Lonchura striata: one gene and its partners. The protein of the gene in region 1 interacts with the protein of each later gene in a pairwise test. Links are inferred from orthologs where the notes say so. Each region holds a gene or a part of one and is shown on either strand. Other genes may lie near its edges.

Region 1 (7,932 bases):
GGAGATGCCAAGACTTCCAGGCAGTGTCCATCAACCAGGGCTTTTGCCACTGGAATTGTCTCTCTGCATTTGGGAGAAATCTGGATGTAAACTCTGGGCGGGTGCTGTGCATGGAAGTGGGGAAAATCTAGGATCCATTTCCTCTGTGGCAGCTACTGTAAGGAAGAGGAATGCCATCGTGTAGCAACAAGAAAATAAAGTGTGATTAAAAAACCAAATGCATTCCTGTTGACACCAGCTTGCTTCCAACAGCCACGTGTGGAAAAGCGTCGGAGACGCTTCCGTGAGGAAACTGGAGTGGCTGAGCCGAGTGACACAGCCAAAGGAAGCTGAGCAGGAATGAATCAAAGCTTTAAGCAGCGAGGGGATGCTCACTGAAGTGGCATCAGGCTGTGTGTGCAGTGAAAGGAGTTTTATGAACGCAGCCCAGCCTTTCCATGCTGCCTTCTCCTGCAGGAATATCCCCACGGAGACAAAGCCTGTCCAGCTGCTGAGCAGAGCTCTGAAAGCCCAGCACATTCACACTTTAAAGGGTGAGCTTCTCACCTTCCAGGAACACCACAGCAGCTCCTCGCTCCCATCTTGGAATGCTTTCCATGGAATCACTCTGGGCATTTCTCTGTTTCATCTGTTTTGGGGCTGTGCGGCTCCCACACGGAGAGAGCGGCGTAAAAAACAGGGAACAAATATTCCAGCAAACCACAAAGTAAACGAGAGGGCAGCTGGAGGAATGCAGAGGATCCAGCCAGGCACAAAACAAAGCTGGAAGCCTGGACAAGCTGCTTCTGTGCACCAGGAAAAAGCTTCCTGGGAGCTTCCCGAGGGCTTTCAAAGCACTTTGGGGAATATAAATTGTCCTTTCAAACAGCTGCTGCACAGGCCAAGGCTGGAGATTAAATATTATGACAACATTTTGTAACAAAGAAACTGGGAAAGCTGAGTTGGCCCCTGGATGTGGGGCAGGGCAGGGAGGAGGGGGAGCAAAGATTCCCTACAAACCCTCTGGATCCATCAGGGACTGGACACGGTGCAGGCAGCTGGGCCTAATGGTGGGAACACAGCTGGGACACGGGGGCACAGACTGCTCAGGGAGACAGAGATTCCCAGAGCCAGAGGCTGCAAATACAGCTCTGGAAACAGCTTCTTTTCAGATCATTTTGCTGTCCTCTCCTCCTTGCTTCTCCTTAAGGAATAGTTTGTTCCTCCATTACTCCGTGCCCTGATATTTTCCTTTCCTTTCTGTATTGTTGTTGATTTTTACCATTTCCTGTGGGATTTTTCCTTTGGGAATTGTGGCTCTGGCTGTGGTGTCACCCAAAGCAGGAGTTCTGTAGGTGCTCCTGGACTGGATGTTCTCCACGACTCCTTGGAGCTGGGAGGCTCAGACTCAGCGGAAAGCCCTTCCCAATCCTTCCTTTCCAGGTGGTCTTGGATGCGTGGTCCCACCATGTCCAAAAGAGAATGGAGCAAAGCTCCACGTTTGATTTGAGGTGACAAAACCTATGGAAATGGAGGAACCATCCCTTCGTTTCCACGGCCAGCTGCTCTGACTGCGGCACCACGTGGAATGAGTGGAGTTCATGAAAGCCAAAACTCTGGAATTAACCAGGATCCATTCCAAATTCCCACTTTGGCCAGACAACATCAGTGTTCGGTGCCTTCCCGTGCTAATGGGTTCATAATTCCTCTTTTAAGGCAATTAAACCAATGAATGCCGTTCTCGTTCCGAGTCGTTAAATGAAAGGAGAAGTTTCGATGCAATTAGTGAATTTAGACCTCGGGAAAGACTCTGCATTTTGTCTTAAAAAATCTGGCAGGAGGCGATTCCCAGCAGCAGGATCGGGATGGCAAAGGGTGGCCGGGAATGCGAGGCAACTGTGCCCCCTGCAGACAGCCGGAATCCCTGGAAAAAGCCTGGAAAACCGGGAAGGGAACGCTCCTTGGACCTCCACCGCCTCCTCACACAGCCCATCCACTTCAAGGCGTTGAGCTGAAAGGTCTCCTCCAACCTTGCTGATTTGATGGAATTCCAGAATCAAAAATCCCGACAGAGAAGCTTTGATAGCCCCAGGTCATCACAGCTGATTTAAAACCCAATGTTTTGAAGTACAAGATGTTCCAAAAATATGAGCTGTTTTCATGACAAAAACGAAGCACTACATTTTTGTAGGAACATCTCCAAATGAAATTTTAATAAATAATAATAATTTATAATTATTCAAATGTATAATTCAATTCAATTACAATATAAGAATTAAATCTCTTTACAAAAGGTGCTAAAAATACTGTTTTCACACGTGCTCTGAATCTTACACTTTGGTATTACAGCTGAGGAAAGGAATGTGGCCCCTGAAATTCAAGGTGAGTGGGCAGGGAAATATCACTGAATCATACAGGAAGCTTTCAGGAATGCTGCAATAATTTGTGTTGGACTTCCAAAATCCTGCCCTTCTCCCAGAATTGGGAACTGTGCTGCTGCCATGCCTCACTTTGCCACAGGTTCTTTGGGAATAACTCAGAATTAGCCACAGGTTCTTTGGGAATAACTCAATTTGCCACAGGTTCTTTGGGAATAACTCAGAATTAGGCAGTGGGTGCTGTGCTTTGCCACAGGTTCTTTGGGAATAACTCAGAATTAGGCACAAATTCTTTGGGAATAACTCAGAATTCAGCAGTGGGTAACGCAGTGACTCAGGCCCGCTCCCACATGGGTGACTGTGCATATTCCAAAGGCACCGGTGCTGGGTACAACCCCTGACTCATCCCACTTGTTCCTCACAGGAAGGACTTGGAGCTGATCCCCCAGCAGGGATGGGGACAGGTGGTGCTCAGGTGTGCCCATAATGGGGATTTTTGGGGGGCCACACATCCCAAAAATCTGAACTGTCACTGAGCCACGTTCCCTGTGGAATGTTCCTGTTTGCCACCATCCCTCCACAACCTGTAATCCCCTCATCTCCTCAGCCAGTTATTAATTAGTGTCCTCTCTCCTGCTGGTTAATGATTCTCTCGTTCCTCATGCTAATTAATGCCGTGCCCTTGTCCCGTTTAGGGTCAGGCAGTTTTTTACCCCCTGCTGGAATTAATTCCCTTTTACCCGGGCACAGCTGATTTCACCACAGCCGCTGAATTGGCTCTGTTGGTTTCTTCCCTGCCCCGGGGGCTCTGCCAGATGCCTTTGTGGCCTGGGAATCCGGCATTCCCTGGATCCACAACCAGGAGAAATCCTTCCTGCTGAATGGGAATATTGAATTCCCTGCATCCACTGCCAGGGGAAATCCTTCCTCCTGAACAGGAATTCTGCATTCCCTGGATCCACAACCAGGAGAAATCCTTCCTGCTGAATGGGAATATCGAATTCCCTGGATCCAATACCAGGGGAAATCCTTCCTCATGAAAGGGAATCCCTGGATCCACAACCAGAGGAAATCTTTCCTCCTAAACGGGAATCCCTGGATCCAAACAAGAGGAAACCATTCCTCCTGAATGGGAATCCCTGTATCCACTACCAGGGATTGAAATCCTTCCTCATGAACGGGAATCCCTGGATCCACTACCAGGGATTGAAATCCTTCTTCATGAACAGGAATCCTGCATTCCCTGGAAATTCAGCTCAGGAAACAGCTTATTTTGGATGCACTACCAGGAGAAATTTTTCCTTCTGAACGGGAATCCCTGGATCCACTGCGAGGCAAAATCCTTCCTGCTGAACGGGAATCCCGCATTCCCTGGATCCACTACCAGAGGAAATCCTTCCTCCTGAATGTGAATCCCTGGATCCATAACCAGGGATTGAAATCCTTCCTCATGAATGCAAATCCCTGGATCCATAACCAGGGATTGAAATCCTTCCTCTTGAACGGGAATCCCTGGATCCACTAACAGAGGAAATCCTTCCTCATGAATGTGAATCCCTGGATCCATAACCATGGATTGAAATCCTTCCTCATGAATGTGAATCCCTGGATCCATAACCAGGGATTGAAATCTTTCCTCCTGAACGGGAATCCCTGGATCCACTACCAGGGATTGAAATCCTTCCTCCTGAACGGGAATCCCTGGATCCATAACCAGGGATTGAAATCCTTCCTCTTGAACGAAAATCCCTGGATCCACAACCAGGGCAAATCCTTCCTCCTGAACGCTCTCAGCCTCACCTACAGCTGACCTCACTGGAGCTGACAAGCCCTGAATTTAACACAGCAGTTGCAGCCTGAGGAATTTGTTTTTCCGGCACTGTACATCAGTGGGAGCTCGCTGGCTGCTGTCTCCCACCGCCCTTCCTGGCGATCCTCATTGCAACCTACAAAGAACTAACACCAGAGAACATCCTTCCAAACACCAGAGCACATCCTTCCAAACACCAGAGAACGTCTTTCTTAACACCAAAGAACTTCCTTCCTAACACAAAAGAACTTCCTTCCTGTACAAAACCTTTACGCATTCCACATTGGACAACAATCATGCAGGACCCTGCCTCATGACCCGCTTCCCCTGCAGCTCTCTGGGAAATTTTTTCAGCATTTCCAACGGTTCACTGTTTTTATTTCTTTTATTTTTTTTTTTTAACTTTTCCTCTTGACGAGCCAGGACGAGCTGCCCGCGCAGTTTGCGCCCTCAGACAAGCGCAGTTCGGGTACAAAGGACGAGCGGCGCCCGCCGCGCTCGCTCCCTCAGGCGCCGCCGCGACATGGCGGCGGGTCGCGTCGGCGCGCCCTCAGCGGCAGCTCCGCCCCGCGGGGCCCCGCGCCGCGCCTGCCGCCGCCGCGCTCCCGCCGCCCGCCCCGTTCCCCTCATCGCGCGGGGCCGCTCCGCTGTTCTCCCTCCCGGCCGCGATCCCGGCGGCGCTGCGGGCGCGGCGGGGCCGCGCGGCGCTGCGGGCGCGGCGGGGCAGCCCCGCGCGCGGAGCGGCCGAGGCGGGGCGGGCGCGGCGGCGGCTCCGGCCGGGTCAGGCGGTGCGGGACGCGCGGCGGCACGGCGGGCCGAGATGCCGCTCTTCGCCGCCAACCCCTTCGAGCAGGACGTGGGTGAGCGGCGCGGCGGCGGCTGGGCTCGGCGGGGCGGCCTGCTCGGGCTGTAGATTCTCTTCTTCCTCCTCTTTTTTCCCCGCTTCCTTTTCCTCCTCGGCTGTTTCCTTCTCCTTGTCCTCCTCTTTTCGCCTCGCTGTTCCCCGCGCCGGGGGTCGGCGTGGGTCCCGGTGGGTGATCCCGAGGAGGGCACCGTGGCCCGGCTGGGGCAGGAGGGATCGGCAGCCGTGGGGTGAGGCCGGTGTGACACGGGGTCACAGCGAGCCCCGGGAGTGCTGGGCTGGGAAAGGGCCTGGAAGGCTGGAAAAGGCCCTGGGAGGGGCTGGTGCCCAGCTGGGCAGGAGGCCAGTGGTCCCTGGGCTGTGCCAGCCCGGTGTGACACAGCCCGGGGCAGTGCCCGTCCCTGTGCTGGCACTGCGGGGACACCGCAAGGGTGGGGACTGCTCTGGGACAAGGGAGACACTGAGGGGCTGGAGTGGAGCTGGGAAGGGAATGGAGAATCCCTGAGGGAGCTGGGAAGGGGCTGGAGAATTCCTGAGGGAGCTGGGAAGGGAATGGAGAATCCTTGAGGGAGCTGGGAATGGGCTGGGGAATTCCTGAGGGAGCTGGAGAGGAAATGGAGAATCCCTGAGGGAGCTGGGAAGGGAATGGAGAATCCCTGAGGGAGCTGGAGAGGGGCTGGAGAATCCCTGAGGGAGCTGGGAATGGGCTGGGGAATTCCTGAGGGAGCTGGGAAGGGAATGGAGAATTCCTGAGGGAGCTGGAGAGGAAATGGAGAATCCCTGAGGGAGCTGGGAAGGGAATGGAGAATCCCTGAGGGAGCTGGAGAGGGGCTGGAGAATCCCTGAGGGAGCTGGGAAGGGAATGGAGAATTCCTAAGGGAGCTGGGAAGGGAATGGAGAATTCCTGGGGGAGCTGGGAATGGGCTGGGGAATCCCTGAGGGAGCTGGGAAGGGAATGGAGAATTCCTGAGGGAGATGGGAAGGGAATGGAGAATTCCTGAGGGAGCTGGGAAGGGAATGGAGAATCCCTGAGGGAGATGGGAAGGGAATGGAGAATTCCTGAGGGAGCTGGAGAGGGGCTGGAGAATCTCTGAGGGATCTGGGAAGGGAATGGAGAATCCCTGAGGGAGCTGGGAAGGGAATGGAGAATCCCTGAGGGAGATGGGAAGGGAATGGAGAATTCCTGAGGGAGCTGGAGAGGGGCTGGAGAATCTCTGAGGGATCTGGGAAGGGAATGGAGAATCCCTGAGGGAGCTGGGAAGGGAATGGAGAATCCCTGAGGGAGCTGGGAAGGGGCTGGAGAATCCCTGAGGGAGCTGGGAAGGGAATGGAGAATCCCTGAGGGAGCTGGGAAGGGGCTCAGCCTGGAGCCAAGGAGGATCCCCAGGGATCTTTTCCCTCTCTGGAATTCCCTGTCAGGAGGGGACAGCCGGGGGGATTTGGGATCATCCCAGGGAATGGGACAGGAGCAGAGGGAACGGCCTCAGGCTGGCCCAGGGGAGCTCAGGGTGGGACCAGCAGGAATTTCCCCATGGAAAGGGGCTCAGGGATTGGCACTGCCCAGGGAGGGTTGGAGTGCCCATCCCTGGAGGTGTCCCAGGAATTCTGGAGGTGGCACTCGGGGCTCTTGGCGGGGACAGGGTGGGCATGGGGCACAGCTGGGACTTTGGGATCTTGGAGCTCTTTTCCAGCCTCATTTCTGGGATCCTGAGCACCAGAATCCCAAGGCTTTTCCCAGAAGGGAATATCCATCAATCCCACCCCAGCAGCAGAGGTGGCCCTGCCCCAGCTCCTCCTGGCAGGGAACATTTTGTGCTCCCCCACAGCTCCAAATCCCTCACACCAACAACAGAAAAGGAGCCCGGAAAGTCCTTAAAATCCTATCTTTTGCATTTTGGGGGAAAAATTCTTCCTGGCAAGCGTGCTCAGGCCTTGGCAGGGGCTGCCCAGGGAGGGTTGGAGGTGTCCCTGGAATTCCTGGAGGTGGCACTCAGGGCTCTGGGCTGGGGATAAGGTGGGCTTTGGGCACAGCTGGGACTGGATGGGCTGGGAGGGCTTTTCCAGCCTTAATAATCCCGGGATTCCTCCTGTGGCTGTGGTGGGCCCAGGGCACACCTGACACATCCTGGCCGGGCTGGGGGCTCTGGCAGGGAAAGGATCCGTGGTTCCCCCCTCTCCCTTCCCCTCAGCAGCATCAAGGAATGGTTTGTGCCTGTTTTGCTCCGACTCCTGAAATTTCCCAGCGTTTTCCAGAGGTGTCTCTGTGCATCCTGGCCTCGCCATGGCGTTTGCAGGGATTCGGATACTTGTGGCTGCTGGAAGATCAGCTGCTTTTCATCCTTTTATTGAGGATTTTTTCCCAGTGGCTTCCCCAGAACCACACAGAGGTTGGGGTGGCTGTGCAGGGCCAGGAGCTGGGCTGGATGATCTTGATGGATCTTTTCCAACTCAGGATATTCTGTGCTTCAATGATTACAGAAGCTGCCTGGAGTTGGGCTGAAGACGGTGACTCAGTTGTTTTGTTTTGTGTCCTGCCCTGACTCGTGCTTCCTTAAACTCGTGCTCTGTGTCACTTTTTTGTTACACAACGTCTGTTCTCAATGGCAGCACTGAAAAAAACAGTGAAATAAGTGAGACACCAGGCTCAGCTTTCTTGTTGGCACCCTAGGAAAGAGAAGAATTCAACATTCCTGGGATTTTTGTCCTGGCCAAAATGGAAGAGTTTGAGTGCTCTTGTTGCCACACAATCTCTTGTTTCATTTTGAGCTGGTTTCCTGGTTTATTTATTATTTTATTTCTAATTTCAACTCCCTGGTGCAGTTTGCTGTTTGACCACACTCACATTTCACGTGGCTCAAACTGGTGTATTTGTTCAGGTGGATTTTTTTGGAACTCTGCAGGGT
Region 2 (7,405 bases), on another chromosome or scaffold:
TTTTGGAAGTAGGAATTTTACACAGCCAGTTTAATAGCACTCACTGATCAAAGAAATTCCACATGCTATACTGCAATTTTTACTGGGGGTACATTTTGCAGTTGGAACTCAATAGGTAAATAAATACTAAGTCATAACAGGAGTCTCACATGAACATCCCTGGCACAATCCTGTCAGAACACAAAAAAATACTTTAAATGTCAAAATAATACAGAAGTCATCTTCTACAACTGTGTATCTTCCCCCAGCAAACCTCCTTCCCTTAGTTTGCATACCTTGCAAGAGCTACTCAGGAAGTTGACATACTGTTGCTGCAAACCCAACAGCAACAGACACCAGATTTTACTTTCTTCTAAAATATGCAGCTGATATTTCAGCAGCTGGCTTTAAAACTCTTCACCTTCCAGTTTCTCAAGGCTAGTTGCCACAAGTAAGTTTTCCAACTTGCTTTATCCCCTTTCCTGCTTTCATTTCTAATGTCTACTCATTATACACTAACTCTGGCTAAGATACTGAAAGAAGTCATTACCAGGAACAAGGCCACAACTTTCCAACACTGACTCTGAGCTGCCACTTGAAAGTTAAAATGGGCGACTTATTTCTAGCACAGAAGTAATACTGGAGCATTAGCAATTGTTCCTACTTAAGAGTTTTGTGTATCTTGTAAATATTAACTAATTTAAAATTATAAATCCCCTCAACCTCTAAAGCGCACAGATATTGCATAATATTGTAGCTAAGACCTATTTTTTTTTTTTTTAAAGTCACAATCCATCATGGCTCAAAACCTGTGGAAAGAGTAGCTTTGATTTTGACTATGAGACACTAAAGGCTACCCTAAGGTGAAGCTTTAGGAACTGGCAGGATCAGTGGAGGAGTTTTCAGGACAGACAGTGATGTTCAACACAGCCAAGTGCCTGTGGGCACATCACCTGATGCTGCACAGCTTCTTCAGCTGAGGGAAGGTTTGCTATGAATACACTTCCTCGATAATAGACACCTGTGGGTTCATTTATTTTACTGTCTGTCGTGTTCTCAGTCAACCATCCACACTTACAGACAAGTTCCTCATCAAGAAAAAAAATCTTAAAAACCTCTGACGACAGAGTCCTTCTCTACTTCAACATCCACACTAGAAGGCCTGTATAAGGCATTTACGTGGTTGTTGACTCTTGCAAGAGCTAAAAGGTTGCTTTCAAAGGGAAGAACAAGAAGACAAAAACCTTCACAAGTCTTCCTATAATCACAGATATAAATGCAATCAACAGCACAAACATTCAAACTTGTTATGCTGATTTGACAAAAATACAACACACTTCTAAACCTCATACAACACCTTCTAAACCATTCAGGCTTAATTTAGAACAACACAAAAAACTTGATCCGCCACCAAGCACTTTCTATTTACTTCAGCAGACATAGTTCAGAAATCAGAACAGAAAAAATCCTCACGAAATTTATTGTGACATTCAGCTTTTGCACCCAAACAAAACAATCAGGCACACACTGCCAAGAAACATCAGTGCAGCTTCAGGGCACCAGCAAGGGCTGCTACGTGCAGGGCTTCTCTTCAACACTTACGGGGCTCCTATCAGGGTGGAATTCTTGAACTCGCTAAAGCATTTATAGATTACATGCCTGTCCGGTTAAATACTTCCTGCAATTTTGTTAATTATACATCAAGCTCTGCAATTAGGGAATGACTCCCATCCTAGAAAACATCAGCTCTCAAGTTACACCTACCCCCCAGAATGTGTGTTTCTGTAGATGCCTCTGGTATGTATGCTATTATCCCAGACAATAAAATACTTTCAAAACTCGAATACAATGTGCAGTTCTATCGCTGGATGGTTTTCCTTTTCATTTTTCAGTGCTGTAGACCGTTTGTTTAGGTCAGTACGCATTTCTGTAGGTGGGGGAGGAGATGTCCGGGAGCAGACAAGTGCAACCCCAAGTTCAGGTTCCCTTTTCGTGTCCATCCCTTCCAGAGGCGGCCAAGCGCAGGCTTCGACACCAATGCCATCCTCCCTCCACACCGGCGTTACCCTCCGCTGACAGCAAAGCCATCAAAGCACGCTCGGCCTTTTCCTTCTTTCCCCCTTGATTCATCATCAAGATGTAAATTAAGAGATTCTCCCAGAGACAAAAAAAAAAAAAAACAAAAAAAAAAAAAACAAAAAAACCAAAAACCCCACCGAACAATGGGAAACACTTCCCCGCCGGTGCCCCACAGGACGGAGGGAAACAGGATCCGCTGCGCTGGGCGAGTTACTCAGTGGGGATCAGATGCTGCTAAAAATACGGGAGCGGAGCGAGCGGGCCCGGGCTAAGCCCGGGCAGGGCCCGCGGTCCCCGTCCCGGAGCGTCCCCGCGCCAGACGGTGCGGGGGACATCACACAGACGGTGATGTCACCGCCGGCGGCAACAAAGGACGCGGCACCGGCCGGGCGGCCCCTGCCCTCCGCCTCCCGCCCGCCCGGAGCGCCGGCACCGGCCGAGACAAAGCGGCTTCCCCCGCGCTACGTGCGGGCGGAAAGGGAGAGGTTCGGGCCGCCCAGCGCCGGAGCGGCGGCGGCGGCCCCCGGGGCGGCGCGCACCGGCCCCGGGCGAGCGGCGCCGCGACCCCCGGCCCCGCTGCCGCCCCCTCCCCTACCTGATATGGCGGCGGCGGCTCCTGATCCGGCTCAGCCCCGTCTCCGTAGCTAGCTCTGTCCGACTGGGACTCGTGCAGCAGCGAGATGTCATCCGAGGTGGGGGACTTGAGGCAGTTCCCCATCTTCCCGGGGGGAGCGCGGCCCCTCCTTCGCCTCCTCCCGCTCCGGATCCGCGCCCTCAGCCTCCCCGCCGCAGCGCGCAGCCCGCAGCCGCCCCGCCGGGGAGGCTCATGCCAGCCCCGGCCCTAAGCGGCTTAGCAGCTGCAGCCCGGCCGCCTCCCGCTCCGCTCCGCGGCCGCCCCGACCCCCGAGCCGGGGGGGGCGGCAGGACGGGCCTCCCACCCCCCGTGGGGCAGCGGGCTCCGGTGGGTCCGCCCGCGGCTGCCCGGCGCGGTTCTGCTTCCCGGTCACCGGCTCCCTGCGCACTGGGCTTTGTCGCACGGGCCGCCCTGGCTCCTCCTCTCACCCCTCCCCGCCCGGCCCCGGGAGCAGCCGCGGGGCCTCGCTGGGCTGCGCACCCCCCGGCCCCGCCGCGGGGACAGCCCTGCCCGCCCCCGGCGGGACGAGGCGGGACGGGACGGGCTGGGGAACCCAGCCGCCTGCCGGGCTCCCCCGGCCCCAAGATGGTGGGAGCCGCTTGGCCCCGCCCCCGAGCGCGGTGTTTGTTTGTGTTCCGGGCATGGCGGGGCCCGGCGCGGCGGGACGGGAGCGCAGCGGCGACCCCCGCGCCACCCGGCCCGCCCCGGCTGAGGCGCTTTGTGCGAGGCCCGGGGCCTGCCCAAGGCTCCCCAGGCAGGGAAGAGTTCCCCGTGCTGGTCGCTGGCGTGACCCCAGCGGCACGGTCAGTCTAGGCACAGGGCAGTGAGCCCCAGAGTGGAGCAAAATCAGCACTTGGCTTTTGCGTTTCTAAAGGGTTTTTTATGCGATGAGCAAGTACTCTAATGAGCCATATATTTATCTTCTCTTTTTTGCCTTCATAAAAATATATCCATACTTGGATATAAGTCTAGGTAAGTACTGATAAATGCAAATCTGAGGATACTGAATGCCCCCGTGTCACTGTGTTAGTGTGCCAGCACTAACCCACACAGCGTGGGATATGTGATGGTCCTGTTAGTGTTCTTTGGTTCCTCAAAATGCATCCTTGGCCTTCAGAGTCACATAATGGAAAATACTTTAAAATCCAATTTTTAAAGTGAAGTATTTTTTAAGGTGAAGCAAATACGGTGCAGATGAGAGCAGCTGCGAATTCCAGTCTGTAAAGCAGTACAGCGTGGCTGCAGTACCAAGTTGTCTGCTGATACAGCTTGGGCCTGCTTTGCAACTTCTTGGGTCAGAATATCTCCAGACATGCCATTCACAGTTATGTATTTGCCTCCACAACCTCTGCTGGTGGACCTCAGTCTGGGATCAGAGTTTTTGCTGATTATCCTTATGAGTTCATTCTTGTAGATTTCATTTTATTACTGTTTAGGGTAGTTTGTTTTGCTGCTTATCAAAGGGTAAGTTAAACAACCCTGGTGTAAAGCCTGTGATTGCTGCCATTTATGGTGTTCTAACACAGCTTCAGGCTTTTCAAGGAAACAGAAACTGAAAATCGGGCAGGATTTTTAGTGTTGCTCAAGATAGAGAGGCTTTGCAGTGGTGCATTGTAAATAATGACTGTGGTACATGGCTTGCTCATTTGGGTGTTTATCCTATGAGTCTGTTGGCTTGGTTTAATAGAATTAGGCAAGCAATTGTTGGAGGGGATCTAGTGAACCACTGCCTCACCCAGTCATGATTTTCAAGGTTAAGGCAATGTCAGAGCTGTCTGCTGTGAGAACCTGGTGATGAAACTCCAGCATTGTCACTGGTATTTTGAGTTGTGCACTGGCACCATTGGGAACAAGATGATGGGCAGCTAGAAGGACTGAGTTACTCAGCTGTTATCTTGTGTTTTGTTTTCTCTCTGAGGCTCAGGCCTGTGTCGTTGATGTAGTTCAGTGAAAACCACAGGTCACACTGTGCCATGGTGTGAGGCTGTGATCACAGTTTGATCCTCCACAGTGAGGAGGTCCTATGGAAACCTGTGGTGCCTCCCTGCTGGCTGACGTGCCAAAATAGCCTTTCTTTGGAAACCAGAGTGCAAACTGGTCTCATCCTGATATACAGTCAGGATGTAGGTGGGATTTCCTCTGCATCTCATGGTAGAGATGTTGCATTTATTTACCTTGTGGCCGATCTCCAGAAGGAATAGCTGCTAAGCCCAGTTAAAACTTTCCCCTTAGTAGGTACAGGATGCTCCAAATCTGGGCATGTTTTAAAAAATGCAGACTTGTCAAATGCCAGAAGAGACCTGCTTTTCACGGTGGATTCACAGAGACCAAAGAGGAAGCAGAGAGGTTCATGTTTGGCCTTGCAACAAGACAGACTGCACCTGTGAGAGCTCTGAAGGGGGAAGAGCTACTACCAGTCATGTCTGGACTCTTTCAAGTTGGGGTGGTTGAAGGCACTGCTTTTCCTGGCCATTCACTCCTGTTTTGCCAGATAGGTCATTAATAGTGGCTTTGAACCATCAGCTCAAAAGTTGTACAAAGGTCTGAGGATATGGAAAATGGAAACATTTTAGTGTTCACAAATGTCTTTTAATATCCCTGAATATGCTGAGATGTAGCTGTGAGCCTACTCCTTTTGCTACCACACTTTTTGCAGGTTGGGGACAAGGAAGTAGAGGGATGGATCCTCAGAAGATGTGATTTATGAGTGTGGTTTCTTTGCTTTAGCAGAACCATGGTGTAGTTTAACTGATTACTTCGGTTCTCTCTGGTTTTTACTTCCTCTACTAATTTTGGGGAACACGTAATAGTCAGAATGGATTTTCTAGAGCCTTAGAATGCTCCTGTAGAGGAAGAAAGATTCATGTCGTGGTTTAGGGCTGCACAAATACTACAGACAGAAAAGATCATGCAAATACAAAAATTTGTGTCAGACTAATATCAATACAGAACTGGCAAGGCAAGTCAATGAAACTTTTCCTCACATCTAGACATTTAAACAGTTGGCTGTAATCTGTTTTCAGAATGGTAATGGGGAAGTTCTGAAGTTTGCCAGCATACAGAATTAATGTTCTGGTACACCTCAATACAACAATGTCACACATGGGTCTGTCCTCACCACCTTGTGACAGCTAGCATCTTCTGAGTGAAATCTCTCTTTCAAAACAGAATGGAAATTCAAGAAAAAGAGTTTTAAACTATGCAGACAAAGTTTATGTTTTATTTTACAGGCTTTTGATATGAGAGGAGGCAAATGACATATTGACATATTCTTAAGGCTCATATGAGGTAGCCGGAGGTGATGAACTGTTCTACTGAAAAATCCATTTCCTTTTGAGTTCAAAATCTAAAATCCTCTGGAGACATAAAAAGTCCTTCTTGTTAGGAGTTCCTCTACAATATTGGCGTCATAAATTGCCTAATTTTTAGATGAAAGATCTTTTGATAACACCATTTTACGTGATCCATGTTCATGTTATTGTTGGATAACATTTTGGATATGTTTAATATGTCATGCTTAACAAAAGTTTTCGAAAGACCTTTTCTGTCCTCAGCATGGAAAAGTTTTTTCACTTCCTTTTCTTCCATCAAGCTTATTTTCCCAACACTTATCATCTCTCATTAGGTCTTATCTTTCTTCTGGGTAGGATTGTTTTCCCAATTCATACACAGAAGCCCAGTTGATTTCTGAGTGCAATCTTTCCATGCCATGCTACCCAGAGGTTCAGAGATAACTCTGTTTGCTTGGGTAATGTTGGTGAATAGAACACAATGCAATTTTAAAACCTTTTTCTGGAAGGAAAAAAAAAAAAAAAATACTTTGTATACCTCTGGAGAATGGAAGTAAATTACATTCTTCCATTATGTATGTGAATCTGATTATGAGGATGGTGGAATTAATTTATGTGGTTATAAAGAACATGGCATCTTCTAAAATGCACATGATTATTTTTAGTTTTGTTGATTTTAGCTGAACCATAGACATTTCTCAGTGTATGTTACAAATGCATATTGCTTTCTGAGACAGAGTGAATGCAGCACTAGAAAGCAATTATGGAACTAATATATTTCCCTGAAATGTACTTTGTGATGCAGGATTTTACTCATGTTTCTAAAAATTACTTAAACTTCTGCCTAAATTATACTGGTATCACAAATATGCCACTTAAAGCAATTTATCCCAAATATACCATCTTGGTAAGAAGAAGTATTCCATGACTGGCAAGAATAACTTGCTTTCCTTAATAACGGTTTTCCCCAGGTCCAAAATGTTTTTTCAGTGACGAGTGTAATGTATGCCTATCCTGTGCCCTGGGGCACCTGCCCTGTTCTCTGAGCCACAGAGAACAGAAAGAACATGTATTTTGGCACTGAAACACCCAAGAAACAAAGCAGACAGTCATCATACAAAAGTAACCTCTTCAAACAAACCCTCTGTCGCCCAGCTTCCTGGGGAATTTTGTGTAGGAATAATTTTTTTTCCCCTTGTACCACATGTTGCCACAGTCTCAACTTCAAGAATGATCAGAGACCTACAAAACATGATCTGAGGGGAAAAATTGAAAGAATTGGGGTTGTTTAGTCTGAAGAAAAGGTAGGTGTTGGGAAAAATGGTAATGATCTTTCAAAAATAGAAAATGTTTCTCTGCAGAGAGAAGGAATCCGTTTTTCTTTATGTTCAGTGGGTCTAGGGCAAGAGGTGATGGAGTTGGA
Region 3 (6,958 bases), on another chromosome or scaffold:
AGCTAAAAATACAATGGCAAGCAAACTGCAGGTCTAATTGCAGCACAGATGTGTGGCAGACTGGTCATGCAGCATGCAAACCCCTCATGTTAAAAATGGTGCTGCTCCTGGCTCCTAGAGCACAGGCCATCCCTCCCTGCCACAAAGCACCAAGCAGGTCATCATGGAGCCAACATGTTATGCCAGATAGAAAAAGTAATAATTAACTGCATTTTACCATGAAGCTGGTAAAATCAGAAATGTGTTTTGTGAAGGGGTCAGCTGAGTTTCCATGAAAAAAAGTCCCCGCAGTTACTCAGGGAACAACATCCTCACTGCTACTTTGCAGGTGTAATTCTGGGTACTTTTTGGCCTGCAATAACTACCATGGAATTTAAGACTAAAGATTATTCTAAAAAATATCCATTTGCCTGCTGCCTTTCTGCAGTAAATGGCCAATGTGAAATTCTAGAGAACACCTTGCTGTCACCTGTGATGGGTTTGAAGATGAAGTTGATGTGACAGTACCACTGAAAACAGTATTAGGAGAAAATATCCATGTGTTTATTTCAAGTATAATGATTATACCACCTAGCAAAAACAAAAAAAAGGGCAAGTGTGGAGGAAAAAAGGCTGATCTAGAGTTTGAATACACAAACTGTAAGGTGCAATAAGGGCCTCAAAAATGTAGTTTTTAGAACCCACATTTCAGAGTCAACATACATAGTAACAGCTCTCTTGCTATAGACATTACAGAAACAGAACCTCATGACTTGATCAATGTGGCACTTCTGTTAATGAAGTTAATTCCCATAGGAGACATTGTGTGGGCTGACCCCATCCTGCTTTCCTATTGAGGCCAAGTGCTCCCAACCCCATTCACACAAGTCCTGCTGTCGAATGAAGCTATCTAAAACATCTCTGTTCCCCAGGCACCTCAGGGAATTCTGCTGAGCCTCTAAGAAAGGTCTGTAAGAAAAGGTGTTTGTAATGCTTAAATCCAAGCATTAGTTTTACAGATAAAACTTTTCCCACTGTCTTTCCAAGCAGTCAGAAACACTAAGAAAAATGGTTTCTGATCGGTTGTGATGACTGATTAAGGAGGTGATTATTTTAGTAGAATTCTCACAATACAAGTGTGTGAGGAAAAAAAAGGTGAAATGAGAAAGACTTAATTTTAGGTCTAATCCCTCTATTGAGGGGGTTTAGGTGGCAAAAGCTAAATAGAGCCTGGAATAGAAACTGCAGTTTAACTATTCAGATACAAAGCATTTATGCCAATGGCTTGGGTCTCTGTGCATGCTCACTCAATTCACTAGACAGAGAAGAGGATTTCCGTTCTACAGTGAATTTTGGCCTCCTTACTTTTTCTTTTTCAGAGAGAAAAAATTTTAAAATACTTTTACTAAAATGGAAAGAAAGAGGAAGTTCATGTTGGAAATAAAGCCAGTTTGTTTCAGTGAAATTAAAGCCTCTGTTTTTTATCACTCCAAAGTGTGGTTAAGGTAGAGGAGCCACAGCCTTGGCTAGGGAAAAGGCCTCTGCTCTTGGGCCCTCCTCAAGGCTAGGTCTCTATTACTCTTTCAAGTATAAATTATGCAAGTGTTTCTAAATGCAAACTAAAACATCAATGCGTAATAAACGGTTCAAAAGGATAAAGGTAAAAAACCGATTAATTATTCCCAGATCCAAACATTCCCATCAAGTGAGAAATTTCTCACCAAACATCTTTCTGACGTTCTCCTGGTATTTCACTGAAGTGCAGGTCTACAAAACATTCAGATTTTTTGAAAGTACAAACCATAGGACAACTGCTTGCAACTGAATTGTTTTGGCCATCTCCAGCTCTGGTATAGCCTGTACATCCCCAATAAGACCAGGAATATTTGTCACATACTTAACTAGAGTTACAATACACCAACAAGAGAGCGGGAAAGGAGTTTTGTCATTGGATTTGTTTGGTGGTTCAGACCGCAGACAGGTCTGCATCGAATCCCTAAGGCTGACCAGCGCCATGTGACTCCAGAGGATCTATCTCAGCAGCAGGCAGAGACACACGCGTACCCCGGGGAGCAGAGGTTAGTTACCTCTTCTGGTTCATCGAGGCCAGCTGGCTCCATTCGTTCAGGCACGGGTTATAGCAGTGCGCGGCCGAGATCTCCTGGCTGGTGATGCGGTAGCCGCCGACGATGAACAAGTAATTGTCCATCGTGGCCGAGCCGTAGCCACGGACGCTCACCAGGTCGGCGGGCACGTTGTTGGCCAGCGGCAGCCACCGCCGCGCCTCCTCGTCGTAGCGGAGCATGGCCCAGGGCGCGTCCCCCGCGGGGTGCCAGCCGGCGGGCAGCCCCGGCGGGCAGGCGCCCCTGAAGTCCCCGAGCAGCACCAGCGTGGCCGCGCCCCTCATGCGCCGCTCCCGCAGCTGCTGCTGCAGCGCCGGCGGCAGCAGGAGGTGCGGGCGGGCGTCGGGCCGGCGCAGCACCTGGTGGTAGTGGGCGGCCATGAAGTCCAGGCAGGCGTCGTGCAGGTCCTGCAGGCCGTACACCTGCGCCAGGCGGTGCAGCTCGAAGCAGTTGCCCAGCCGCACCTGCGACAGCAGCAGCCGCAGCAGGGGCGTGACCTGCAGGTAGGACGCGGCCTCCACCAGCTCCTCCAGCAGCGGCGGCTCCTCCTCGCCGCCCTCCTCCTGCTCCAGCCTGGCCAGGCAGGACGTGTTGATGAAGTCCAGCACCAGCTCCAGCCCCAGGGCGCTCAGCCCCCCGCGCAGCAGCTGCTCCTCCTGGCCCTGCCCTGCCTCCCGCATTCCCGAGCGGTAGAGCGCTCGGAAATAATCACTCTGCTCGATCAGCTTCCTCTTGCACACCGGGTAGCACTTGTCCCCCAGTCGGATCTGCACCATCTCCTCCCCGGCACCGGCCCCATCCCCCGCTTCCCCTTCCCGCTCCCCTTCCTCCTCCTGCCGCCGCCGCTCCGCCAGGGACATCGCTCACAGCGGGCCCGGCCGCGCCGCGCCCGGCCGGAGCCGCCGCGCCGGCTCCTCCTCCGCCGCCCGGGATGGGCCGAGCCGGGCTGGGATGGGCCGAGCCGGGCCGCGATGGGCGGGGCGGCTTCGCTGCGAGGAGAGACAAGGGGAAGTGAAAAAAAGAAAAAAAAAAAAAAAACCCAAAACAAAAAACAACCCACAAACAAAAAAAAATCCGCATACAGGGAGGAAAGGAAAAAGAAGCCCGAAAAAGGCAATGTTGAGCGTTCCGGCGCTGCCCGCCGGGGGGGGGGGGGTGGGGGGCGTCAGGACATCCCCCGGGCCCAGCCAGGGTAGGTATCAGGGGCACGGTGGGAAGGCCGGTGCTGGGCTCCAGGGGACAGCCCAGAGGCGCAGCGATCCCCCCTGGTGCTCCCCTCTCCTGATTTGGGCCGGAATCGCAGCTGCAGCCGCAGCTCTGACCCCTTGCCATAAATGTACCGCTGCAGCCCTGGCCCAGGGGCAGCATTCCCGAGGCGCAGGGAAAAAGCAGAGTGTGAGCGGCACAGCCAGCCTGGTGCCATCGCATCCCCGCATCCCCGCACTACCTCGTCCCTTCCCGGGCGGAATCCCCCGGGCTCCCCTTGCACAGCCCAAGCAGCAGAGGGACTCGGGAATGGCAAGGGCGATGCGTGACTCTGCTCTGACCCTCCTGGCTCCCTGCGTGTCCCAGCGCCTGCTTCGCCCTGTGAAGACACTGCATCCTGTTCTGCTGCTCCGTCTCTTCTATTTAAACTGAGTGCTTGCAACAGTACATCTCACGAGAGAGCTGCGTACCAGGGCTCTGAGTTTGTTCGACTTGAACAAGAAAAGAGCAAATGAAGAACTGAGCCCTGAATTTTTTTGACATGAACAGGGAAAGAGCAAATTAACAACTGAGCATCTTGGGCAAGGGTAAAATGATAGATTTGCTGTTTGCCTTGTTATATTCTTCAAACACAGTAACACTCCTTTATTTTAAAAAAACCCTGCCATCTGCCAAAATAGATGAGAAGTCTGCCATGCCTGTATTCTATTATATGCTGATATGTACTATAAAGATGTTCAAAATATATATTTATCTTTATAAAGATATTTCCTTCAGATATTGTCCTTCAGACCATAGAAAATGTTTCCCTTTAGCAGTAGTGTGACTCATGTCCAGTTTGTGCAGCTTGCTTAGTTTTCAGACAACTCCTTATTTTCACTGCTCAGAAGGGATTTTTTCTCCCCACTACTAAAACATGTCATATTAGTCTGATTTGTGGGAGTTTTTTCCCTCTCTTTTAAGGAAGACAGGGTTGTTTACTTTCTAGCATTTCCTCTATGAAATGATTGTGACCCTTTATCACTTTTTTGTTGATCTTTATCTTAACTCTAGCCCTTGGATATGACACGAATGTCAACGTCAGTTACAGGTGTTCTTTTCTGCTTTTATAAAAGCATTTTTTGAGGTGAAGTAGATTTCTGTGCATGTCTGTTTTCCACCTCACTTCAAACATCTTCATCATCTTGTTTTTGAGGGGCCCATGTCATATTCTGAAATCCTTTTCTATAGGATCTCAACCAGACATAAAAGAGATCTCTTCACTAGCTGGGTCACCATCACCTCTCACCTTCTCTTTCCTACTACTGTGTTTCACTGTTTGCTTGGTTTGTGTTCCTCTTTCAGTCTTTGTCATTATTTAATTAACATTCAAATTCCAGGCTCCCATCTTTTGTTCTTAATAAAGCACCACCACATTTTGCTTTTTGAGTTTCTTACATCTAGCTGGAGTTTGTGTGAGCACTCGGCTGTTTTTTTCCTAAGGTTCAGGTTCAGCCTTCAAAAGATTATCACACACAAGTGTCTCACCATCTCAGTAGGAGTCCAACTCTTAATTCCTTCTTGTCCTTTAATTCCCACAGGCAGGCATTTCAACCAATTTTAATCATTATTACTCCTGAGGAAAACAGAGATCTCATGGTTGGCATGGCCAGCAAGCTGTCTTGTTGCAATACAGAAGGATTGCCATCTTTAGACATCTGCTTTGGAGTCTCTTATGTTTCATGGATTCATAAATTAGCTCCTAATTGGTGAATGTGTTTTTCCATGTAGTCAGTTATGGTAAATTCAGCCTCAAAGTGTTGACACCACAGCCTGAGTGGATGAAATATTTCTTCTCTGGTTGTATGTTGCCAAATGAGCCTATGCCTGCCACTCTGCCTAGGATTTCCAGTCCTTCTTCCTCACAGTCCATGAGGTTTGTGAATGAGTGGGATCAATTCTGGCATACAGTAGTGTTTTATTATCGGTGCTGGGATCCCTGATGTGGGAAGAATGATGTGCAGAACTCCATGATATCAGAAGGCTAATTAATTACTTTATTATACTATATTATACTAAAACTATATTACACTAACAAGAACTATCACTAAGTAACTAGAAAACCCGTTACTCTCTCTGCTGAGAGTCCTGACACACACATGGATCCAATTGGTCAATCAATCCAAAACACCATCACCAGTATCCCATTAAGAAATCACCTTGTGTAAACAATCTCCTAACACATTCCACATGTGCACAACAACCAGTGAGGTGAGATAAGAATTGTTTTGATTCTCTTTCCTCTGCTTCTCTCACAGCTTCTCTCAGGAGAAATCCTGAGAAAGTTAAATCTCTCTCTATTCAGAGGACATGTAAATACAACATTTTATTCCTGCCAGCAAACTTTCGATGGCCATGACTCCCACAGCTTTCCCCAGGAGCTCTCACATGCCCAGGAGGTCAGCAGTACTGAGTGGGCACTTTTACAAAAAGCCTGTTTCCTTACCCAGTTGTTTTTATTGGGCTGATTGTCAATTCTCTGTGCTTTTTCCAGGCTCAGGGCCAGGCAGTTGTGCTAAGCCAGACTGTGCTGACAGAACAGGTCCCTTATTTTTTTCTACACTTATCAGTCAGCCTGTGTGATGTGCTTATAGAGCAAATGCAAATGCACCAAGGCAAGGCCTACTCTTTTGTTCCACTCTTGTGGAGATAATTTTGTCTGTCTTCCACTCTACAGTTATAACCGTTTTTTTTCTAAGATCAATAATAGATGTTATTATAATGGAATCAAAGAAAAGTGTTTCACCAGCAATCATCTTGGTTGTACCTTAAATGAATAAGAAATATATTTTCCAGAGTTGGAACTCTATTTCTAGAGCTACAAAGCTGAAATGTATAGTTCAGAGCCATAAAAGATTTGCATGATCTTTGAAACAAATATGAAGGGCTTTCTATCATCCTTGAAGAACATGCTGAAGCATCAAACTTGAAAACGTCATGGTAGATTTTAAATCTAAAATGTTAAATGAGTTTATGACAAAAGAACATGTGCTTAAGAACAAGACACACAGAGGGGAAGACAAAGGTAACTCTGCTCAGCATTTCAATATCTGTCTTCTGGACTTTGGCTCCTGGGGCTTCAAAGTGTTTTAGGCAGTTCAGGCCTCTCTTTACAGTACCTGAGAGACAAATTGATACCAAGAAAAAAGGTTCTCAAGTGCCAGCAAAGGGACTGTGCAGACACCAGAGTGTCAGTAAAGGCTCTCTTGCTCCAGGGTTGCCTTGGCTATTTGTGCTACATAATTTTTCCCTGTCTCTGTTGCCTGAACTATTTCCTTGTAGTTAATGTCTGAATTTGTTCCAAGGCCAAAGAGAGACCACTCTTTTATTTTAAAAAGAAAATAAATGGAAGAAACTTTTTTCATACAGCAACTCCATTGTAATAGATCATTCAGCCATGACACAGAGAATCTGAGCCTTTCTCTGCCTGGGCACACATTTCTTGTAGCCCCCTGACTTTCCCAACATAGCAATAGCAAGGAATCACAGAGACTCAGGAGGAGTTACTGCTACAAAGACAAGAAAAGTGAAGCCAGGGAGACACTGTCTAATACTTGAGAACCAGAGAGTAACATTAACCTGAATGCTCTGAGGAAAAGACCACACTGAGT
Region 4 (7,699 bases), on another chromosome or scaffold:
GTGAAAAATGACTGAACACCTCGCAGACAAAAAGGGCTGGAATTATAAAAGGGGTTATAGCAAGACAAATTGAAAGAGAACAGCTTATGTGTGATGGTCTGAAGCATTAATGGAGGGATTCTGAGTTTCTATTGTCCTATAGAAGAGGCGATGCTCTACCTCCTGGAGTGCAAATACCTAAAATTTAGAAACGAATGACAAAACAAACAAACAAAAAAAACCCGTCCCATCAGCAAGATGTGGAAATAAATACACCTTCAGCACGCAACATTACTCAACGTAGGTCAGGAAAATGTGCTGAAAAGGCAAGAAAATGTGTCGGCCTGAAGGTGGACTTTTATACTGTTGGTTTGCGTTTGTTTTGGTTTATTTTTTTTTATGATAATAAATACGATTTTTTAAAATAAGAAATATGATTTATGTGTTGTTCTTTTTTGTTTAATTTTTTTTCCCGAGGCTGGGGGGGGAGCCTGGCGGAGAGCGGCGCAGCCACAGCTTGCAAGCAGCGCTCCCCCCCCTTCCTGCCAGCTCAGCAGTCCCGCCACGCCGCGGTAAACAAGTGCTGAGCTGTCAATCAGCGCGGGCTGGAGCAGGAGCCGACCGGCCTGAACCGGAGCGCCGCCAAGCCCCGCCGCCGGCTCCGCACCCAGGGCGGACCCTGCCGCCGCCCGCGCTGGGCAGACCCCTCAGGTGACGGGGCAGGGACGAGACGGGGCGCAAGCACGTCCCCCTGCCGCCTCTCTCTCTCTGAGGGGCTTTGCGCCGAGCCAGCGCCTCGGGGAGCGGCCCCTGCCCGCCGGGGGCAGGCAGCGAAACCTGCTCACTCACCCTAGCCGCCAGCGCCCCGCCAATCAGCGGCGGGCATCGCCTTAGCAACAGGGCAACAAACCGCGGCCGGCCAATCAGGGCGCGGCCGGGCCGCGGGGCCGCGCTGAGGGCAGGCGGCGAAACGCGGCCGGGCCGCGGGGCCGCGCTGAGGGCAGGCGGCGAAACGCGGCCGGGCCGCGGGGCCGCGCTGAGGGCAGGCGGCGAAACGCGGCCGGGCCGCGGGGCCGCGCTGAGGGCAGGCGGCGAAACGCGGCCGGAGCCGAGACGCGGCTCCGCGGGGCTCCCGGCCCGCCCGCTCCCACGCGTGCTCCCCCCGCCACGGGCGGCTGCTGCTGCGCGGCTGCAGACTCCCGTCTCCACGCTCTTGGAACCCGCGGGAAGTTACGCTCAGGTGTCTGATTTCTGAGGCGGTGGCAGCCCTAAGTCACCTCGTTAGCGCGGTGTGCTCGAGACGTGAAAAAAAAAAACAAACTAAAAAAAGGCCCGAGTTCTGCTACAGCTTTGAGCTCGGGAATACTGTGTGAAGGCGCTCGGTGCCGCCCGGAGTTGTTAAAAAATTACATTTATTATTTTTTAAGAAAAAACGAGAAATATCGCATCGCTGCTGTGTATATGATGTATTTTCAGAAAAAAAAAAAAAAAAAAGGGGGGACAAGCAGCCCAAAAAAATTACATAACCGGGTTTTAACATTATTTTCTTGCACTGGGGAATTAAGTCATCGCCACCACCTGACGAGTGCGGCCAATCTGCGCGGAGCGGGCGGCCCACCCCCCTCCCACAAAGCCGGTCCCAAACAGGATTGAACCGCTTCGAACAAAGGCTGCGAAGTTCGGGGGAGAAAGAAATAAAAAACCACAGAGAACCCCCGGGCCCTGGCGCTTGCACCCCCCAGGGGAAGGAGTCTGCGCTTCGTGGGGACACCACGGCGGCTCGAGTGGGAAGTGGGGAGCAGGAAGTCCTCATCTCCCCAGTTTTGGGAGAGATGCTTCCATTACGCAATATCGCTTCCCCCCCTCTCTCTCCTCCCCCTCCTTTTGCTCCTCATCAAGGGCTTTTCGGACACATCTTTACATCGGGGTGACCCCCATTGCCCAGCGGGGTGTAGGGGCGGCCCAAGGAAATTAAAGCTTTTTACCAGGGCGAGGGGAATATTGAAATGAGGGAAAAATTACACGTGTGGTGGTGAGATGTCAAAATAAGCTAGGGAGACCCTTTTATCTGCAAATAATCAACCATCCTGAAAAATGCATTGTATTACCACTCCAACAGCATCAGCAGAACCCCTCATGTGTCAAAAAGTATAGTTTTTATGCTTTCGCTGTGTTTCAATTAGGATTCTGCCAATAAAGTCCGCTGCCCATCTGGCTGTAATTTTACAGCTGTTTTTCCCCACGGAACAGCAAATCCTACTAAATATCACCAAGGAAAAAATAAAAGGTAAAACACTCGGAAAAAACTTATATTAATATATAGCCGTAATGAAGGGCAAGTAGTTCAGAGGGAGTCCTCTTGCTTGCAGGTACTTTGCAAATGCATTTCCTACATGTAACTCCATTGCCAAGATACGACCCTGGGCACGTCCTGCTCTCCAATGCACCTAATTAAAAGACAGGACTAAACCAGGGTGATACAAAGATGCGTGCTTTTTTTTCCATAAAAAAATAAAGCAGCACAGTTAAGGGCAGCCCTTACCTCTCTCGTGGCCGATCAGGATGTCTTTATGGTTGAAATATTCCACTTCTTCGGTGTAGTTCTGTGTATAGGCAGTGTTGGATCCAGCATTCCTCGATTCAGTCCAACGTACTTTAGCGTGGCCCCTCGCATGGATTTTAAGGGATTTCACTCTGATTTCCCCAGTTACTTCTAGACTGACCCTTCCTGAGACTGTATCCCCACTAGAGTAAACAGGGACATTGCTGTCATTCAGACAGTCAAAGCTTATCGTCAGACTCTTCACCTTCCCCAGCACCATGGTTTTTATAGCAAAGTGTACAAAAATAGACTGTTAAGAAAAAAAAAAAAAAAAAAGGGGGAAGGGGGAACCCAAAAAACAACCAGCCCCGAGCCCCTGGGGCGCAGGGTGCTGCGGCGCGTACCCTACAGGCGGCTCATGGGGGCGGCGGGCAGCCCCGGCCGCGGCGCGGGCGGCGCTGGTGCCGACGCGGCGTCTCCCCACAAAGGCGCTGCCGCGCCGCCGCCGGCCCCGCCTTATAAGCCGTGTGACAAACAAGCGCGGGCGCGCATGCCCCGCCCCGCCCCGCCGGGGCAGCCCCGGCTCCGCGCCGCCGCCGCCGCCGCCGCCCGGGAGCGGGCGGAGCGCGTTTTGTGCCGCCCGGCCGGGCGGAGCGGGTCGTGTGCTGCGGCGGACGCCGCGCAGGTGATGCTCTGTTGGTGCAGATGGCAGTATTGCAGCCTCTACGGAGACAGCAAAGTTGTGCCTCACTTGACAGACCTTGTTCTGAAACTGGCAAAGCCTTCCTTCTCTTGGTCATTGGGTTTTGGGGTGGTTTTGGTTGGTTGGTAGGATTTTGCTGCTTTGGTTTGTTTGGTTAGGTTTTCTTCCTTGTTTCGTTTTTTTTTTTTTTTTTTTTTTTTTTTTTTTATCTCTGTGTGTATGTGTCTGTGTCTAAAGATGGGAAAGAAGTGAGCAAAGCTTGGTAGGAAATGATAGAAAATCATGGCAAGAAATAAAAAGCAGTCCTGGCTTTCAGGGTAGTACATATTGTACTATGTGAGGATCCTCTCTGTTAACTTTTGAAAATCAGTACTGATTAACCTGAATTTATCTACGGCAGTATCAATGACTGTCCTAGCAATAAAAATTACATTACTGTAAATCATCCCTGGAATTTTTTCCAACTGTTGATTTTTTTTTTTTTTTTCATTATTACTTTGGTTGTCCTGTTTCTCTGGTAAATGCTCTGGGTTTGGTTATTTAATGCTACATTTTCTAATTCTAGCTCACTTCCCTGCTGACACAAAATTTTCAGTGAGAAGTATGATGGTGGTGGATGACATACCCCAAGACACCATTTTTTCGGGGGACTAAACTGAGATACACAGCTAACTTTTCATGCTAACGGTTAAGTTTTGAAGTGTTTGCCTATTCCTGCTGTTTTTTCTTAAGTAAAAAAAGTCACATTTTCCTTGGCCTTGTGGATATTCTCATGTGGGGTTTTTTTGTGGCCAAAGGAATTCAAGTCTCTTGTGGGTAAATTAGGATTTTCTGTGCTTTTGCAGCATCTCATGGTAAGCATTCATACTTCCTTAGCTCTTAGAATCACAGAATAATTGAGGCTGGAACAGACCTTCAAAATCCTGTAGTCCAACCATAAAAAAAAACACTTTCAAGAGAAGAAGAGTTGATTAAATTTCTCTTCTGACAGTGTTTCTTTGTTCTTCTCATGCCTTCAGACTCAGGTAGTCTCTTGCATGTGTTTATTTGCACATTTTAATTCTATTCTGTAATTTAAAAGATAATTGTGTCTTTCATGAGTCATAGAAGCCACAATTCCATGGTCTCCAGTTGCTACAGGAGTTGAGAAAGCTGGCAGCCAGGTGGGATGCAGATTTCATCCACAGGGTTTGGGTCATATCTCCTGTTCTGCCAATTCTGGGCTGGTTCTTAATGTTCACCTGCCCAAGGACAAATCTGCAGACATGATAAAGAGCAATTGCATTTTCCAGGAAGCTGAAGATACAAATCTGTTATTCCAGTGGATATTAATCTGGATTTTTTTTTTTTTTTTTTTTTTTTAATCTAGATAGGTAAGAAAGAGGATCATCCTACATAGTTGGGGTATGTGCAGCATGCTTTGTGTACTGTTTGCATTTGCCTATTCCAAATTTGTTGAAGAAAAATAAAATACTTCACTAAGCTGCTGCAAATCATCCCCTGTATATACCCTGCAGACCTCATAGCCCTGTCTTACCTCCCCTCTCACTAGACATCAGCCATCTCCTAGATCACCATATTTCGTGTATGGCTATATGTGATTTAAATCTAGACCACTGAACAGGCTGACATAGTTTAGTTAATCATGTGTTATGCATATTAAACTTCAGACTGACAGCTCTGCAGAAGAATCTATGTATGTATATGTATACATTTCCTGCATCCTGCCAAAAATCACCCGTACACATTCAGCCTCTGCTGCTCTTTTTAATACTTCAGTGTATTCGTTTTACTTTTGTGTTCCTAAAGCATACTCGTCATGCCACCTTGTGGCAAGGATGGTGAAGTGCCAGCACTGACTTTCACCAGTCTCTGGCCTCTGCATTTATGCAAAATTGACATTTTTCCATGGAGCCTTTTTGTCAAAAACAACAACAACAACAGCAACAACAAAAAAATACACCAAAACATTAATTTTATTTTATTTAAGTGGAGAATATACTATGAGGTTTAGCCAAAAATATTTAGCATTTTTTTAGATGTTAAGTTAACCAAATATTTTTCAGGATTTAAGTTTTTGCATTTGTCAAATGAGCTATACTCTAGTTAAATATTAAAAGTTTTATAGATCCTGACATGGGATTTTAAAAATTGGTTGCAAAGACAATCAGGTCTTATCATCTTAGATCAACAATAGGCAGTGAAGACTTTGTACACACATGAATTATCACGAGCCTTCACTAACCTTTTACAGGCCTTATGCATGATACAGTCCACAAAAATTCACATAAAGTTTTAAAAAAGTATTAATTTGATTAATTAAGCCAAATTTCTTTCTTTTTTTTTTTTTTTTTAACTGGTGGAACCTATGAAGATCATGGTGTCTGCTATTGAAGTTAGTAGCTCCAAGGAAGATGGCAATATTCCAGCCTCCATAAAGGCATAAAGATTATACCTTATTTTACAAACCCTTTCTTGAAACTGGCAAAGTCTTCCTTGTTTGTCTTTTTTTTTTTTTTTCCCTTGGAACTTTAAAAATTATTTCTCCTTTTAAAATTATTTTCTTATTTTTTAAATAAAACAACCTATGCCTAGAACTCTCTCAACCTCCATGTGACGTAATTATACATTTATGCTGAAGACCATTCAAAATCCAGAGGTTAGGTCCATTTAGAATCTTTGTAGCTTATCAGTCTTCTCACTGTGCACTTGGTAAATCTGTAAGGGTGGGTATTATGCACAATGATCTTGATAACAGTCATTACATTTTTCTAAAAGCAAAGCCAGAAAAGCTTGCAAAGTTCTCCTGACTCATCAATAAACTACTATTAGTAGGAAGATCCAGGTTTTGAGCCCATCTTCTTACAGACCATCCTGGTTTGAGACTAGGCCTGATTTGATGTGGAGACAGTGTTTGCCCTCCCTGTGAAGCTGTTACCTTGTACACAGAGAATGGGCTAGAGTGAGTGTCAGAATAGAAGATGCGTGTTTTCTGAAGGTTAACGTGTCCTTATCAAAGGGAGAATCCTGAAAAGAAAACTCATGCTCCAGAATGGTTTCTATGTTTTGTGCAGTGAATGAATGAAACATGTGAAATGTTCTCTTAATGGACTTGTTTCTGTTCATCTTTGTTGTGTCTGATCCCAAATCTATTCATAAAAATAAGAGAAATGAGGTTTGCCCTCATCATAACTTTGTGAGGCTACATTTGTGAAATATTGTCGCATCAAAATAGTGAGATAAAAAAGTTAATTTATGGTACTGTAGATCTGTGTACTGAGGAACTTTTTCCAAAACTCCGGGATTCAGAAGAATGTCTACAGACTTTCTTTTTGTTACTATCTCCACTGGAACAGTTGTTCATCTCTCAGAGCTGTAGAAAGAACAGAAATTTTTGCTAAATAGTCTTCCTTTGGGCTTATTTTTTTAATGGAGAAATAATCAGTGATGTAAAGAAACTTGGAGATTGAAACTGTTTCCTGGATTTGAAAGATCCAGGATTTGGGAGCAGCTTTTCTCGTATTATCTGTATCTTTAGATGATAGCATTTATTATTGAGAAAGAGCGTTCTGTATTTCTGATGATTCTGCTTTCAGAAGGCACATACTGTAAAAAAAAATATTCAGTCTCAAAACTCAAGCACTGTTTGAAATGTTTATTAGTTTGCGGTTTTTTTCTTTAAAATATTTTAAAGCTGTCTTGGAGCTAGGTGACACTTTGGTCCATGCCATAGCTGCAGAGCTTCCATACCTGGCTCATACACGTGGTCATGTTTAAAAACCTGGGATGGTCACTGATATTGTAAAGGCTATGAGAATATGCAGGATTATGAAATCAAAATTATTTAGGAGTGATTAAGATACAAAATAAACTTTACTGTGAGTCTAGTAACATGTAACATGTTTTGCTGTTGTAACTTTTTTGATGTAACATGTAACTTTTCTGATGGGGTTTTACCGTATAGTGCGAGGAAGAAGGATTTGGCAATGTGCTTGAGTCGCAGTAGTACTGAGGAAAATGTTCTCTTGAATTTTGTTTCTGCATTCCCTCTTTTCATGTTTATCTCTCCTTCTGACTAGCACTTTGCAGAGAAATCTTAAAATATTTGTGATTATATAAAGTTTCTTTTATGCAAAGTGTGTATTTTTGTTACAGGATCTTTCCAACATGCCATGATATTAACTCCGTTGGTCAGGGCATGGTACTCTGCCAATAGTGCCAAGATAGTAACTTAAGAGTTGGTGTGACTGTTCAGTAAGAAATGACAAAAAGTCAGTCAGAAGGCTGAGTGGCATAAGCATGCATCTTTACTTGGTGTTGCTTCTTTTATACACTGATCTGATACAGGTGGACCTGATTGGTCATTTAATCAATACATTTCACCCAATTAGCTAATTAACAAGACACACATTTATAAACAATCTTATGAGAATATCAAGAAAACAGATATTAGGAAGACACTAACTGCAGGCTGT

The links.
Region 2: the proteins of STAM2 (region 1) and RNF11 interact in binary tests that used the Homo sapiens proteins (3 or more experiments, as listed by UniProt). The link is inferred for Lonchura striata from reciprocal best matches to the Homo sapiens genes STAM2 and RNF11.
Region 3: the proteins of STAM2 (region 1) and KLHL42 interact in binary tests that used the Homo sapiens proteins (3 or more experiments, as listed by UniProt). The two-hybrid records come from large-scale screens. The link is inferred for Lonchura striata from reciprocal best matches to the Homo sapiens genes STAM2 and KLHL42.
Region 4: the proteins of STAM2 (region 1) and ARRDC3 interact in binary tests that used the Homo sapiens proteins (3 or more experiments, as listed by UniProt). The two-hybrid records come from large-scale screens. The link is inferred for Lonchura striata from reciprocal best matches to the Homo sapiens genes STAM2 and ARRDC3.

Annotation. Positions count from the first base shown.
Region 1 is NC_134610.1:1,560,493-1,568,424, forward strand, and holds the start of STAM2 (signal transducing adapter molecule 2), read left to right. Parts: upstream 1-4,918; 5' UTR 4,919-4,987; coding exon 4,988-5,027; intron 5,028-7,932.
Region 2 is NC_134611.1:10,220,418-10,227,822, forward strand, and holds the start of RNF11 (RING finger protein 11), read right to left. Parts: upstream 3,007-7,405; 5' UTR 2,777-3,006; coding exon 2,654-2,776; intron 1-2,653. UniProt on the Homo sapiens protein: Essential component of a ubiquitin-editing protein complex, comprising also TNFAIP3, ITCH and TAX1BP1, that ensures the transient nature of inflammatory signaling pathways. Promotes the association of TNFAIP3 to RIPK1 after TNF stimulation.
Region 3 is NC_134607.1:11,073,670-11,080,627, reverse strand, and holds the start of KLHL42 (kelch-like protein 42), read right to left. Parts: upstream 3,019-6,958; 5' UTR 2,963-3,018; coding exon 2,067-2,962; intron 1-2,066. UniProt on the Homo sapiens protein: Substrate-specific adapter of a BCR (BTB-CUL3-RBX1) E3 ubiquitin-protein ligase complex required for mitotic progression and cytokinesis. The BCR(KLHL42) E3 ubiquitin ligase complex mediates the ubiquitination and subsequent degradation of KATNA1.
Region 4 is NC_134642.1:67,596,639-67,604,337, forward strand, and holds the start of ARRDC3 (arrestin domain-containing protein 3), read right to left. Parts: upstream 3,015-7,699; 5' UTR 2,802-3,014; coding exon 2,522-2,801; intron 1-2,521. UniProt on the Homo sapiens protein: Adapter protein that plays a role in regulating cell-surface expression of adrenergic receptors and probably also other G protein-coupled receptors.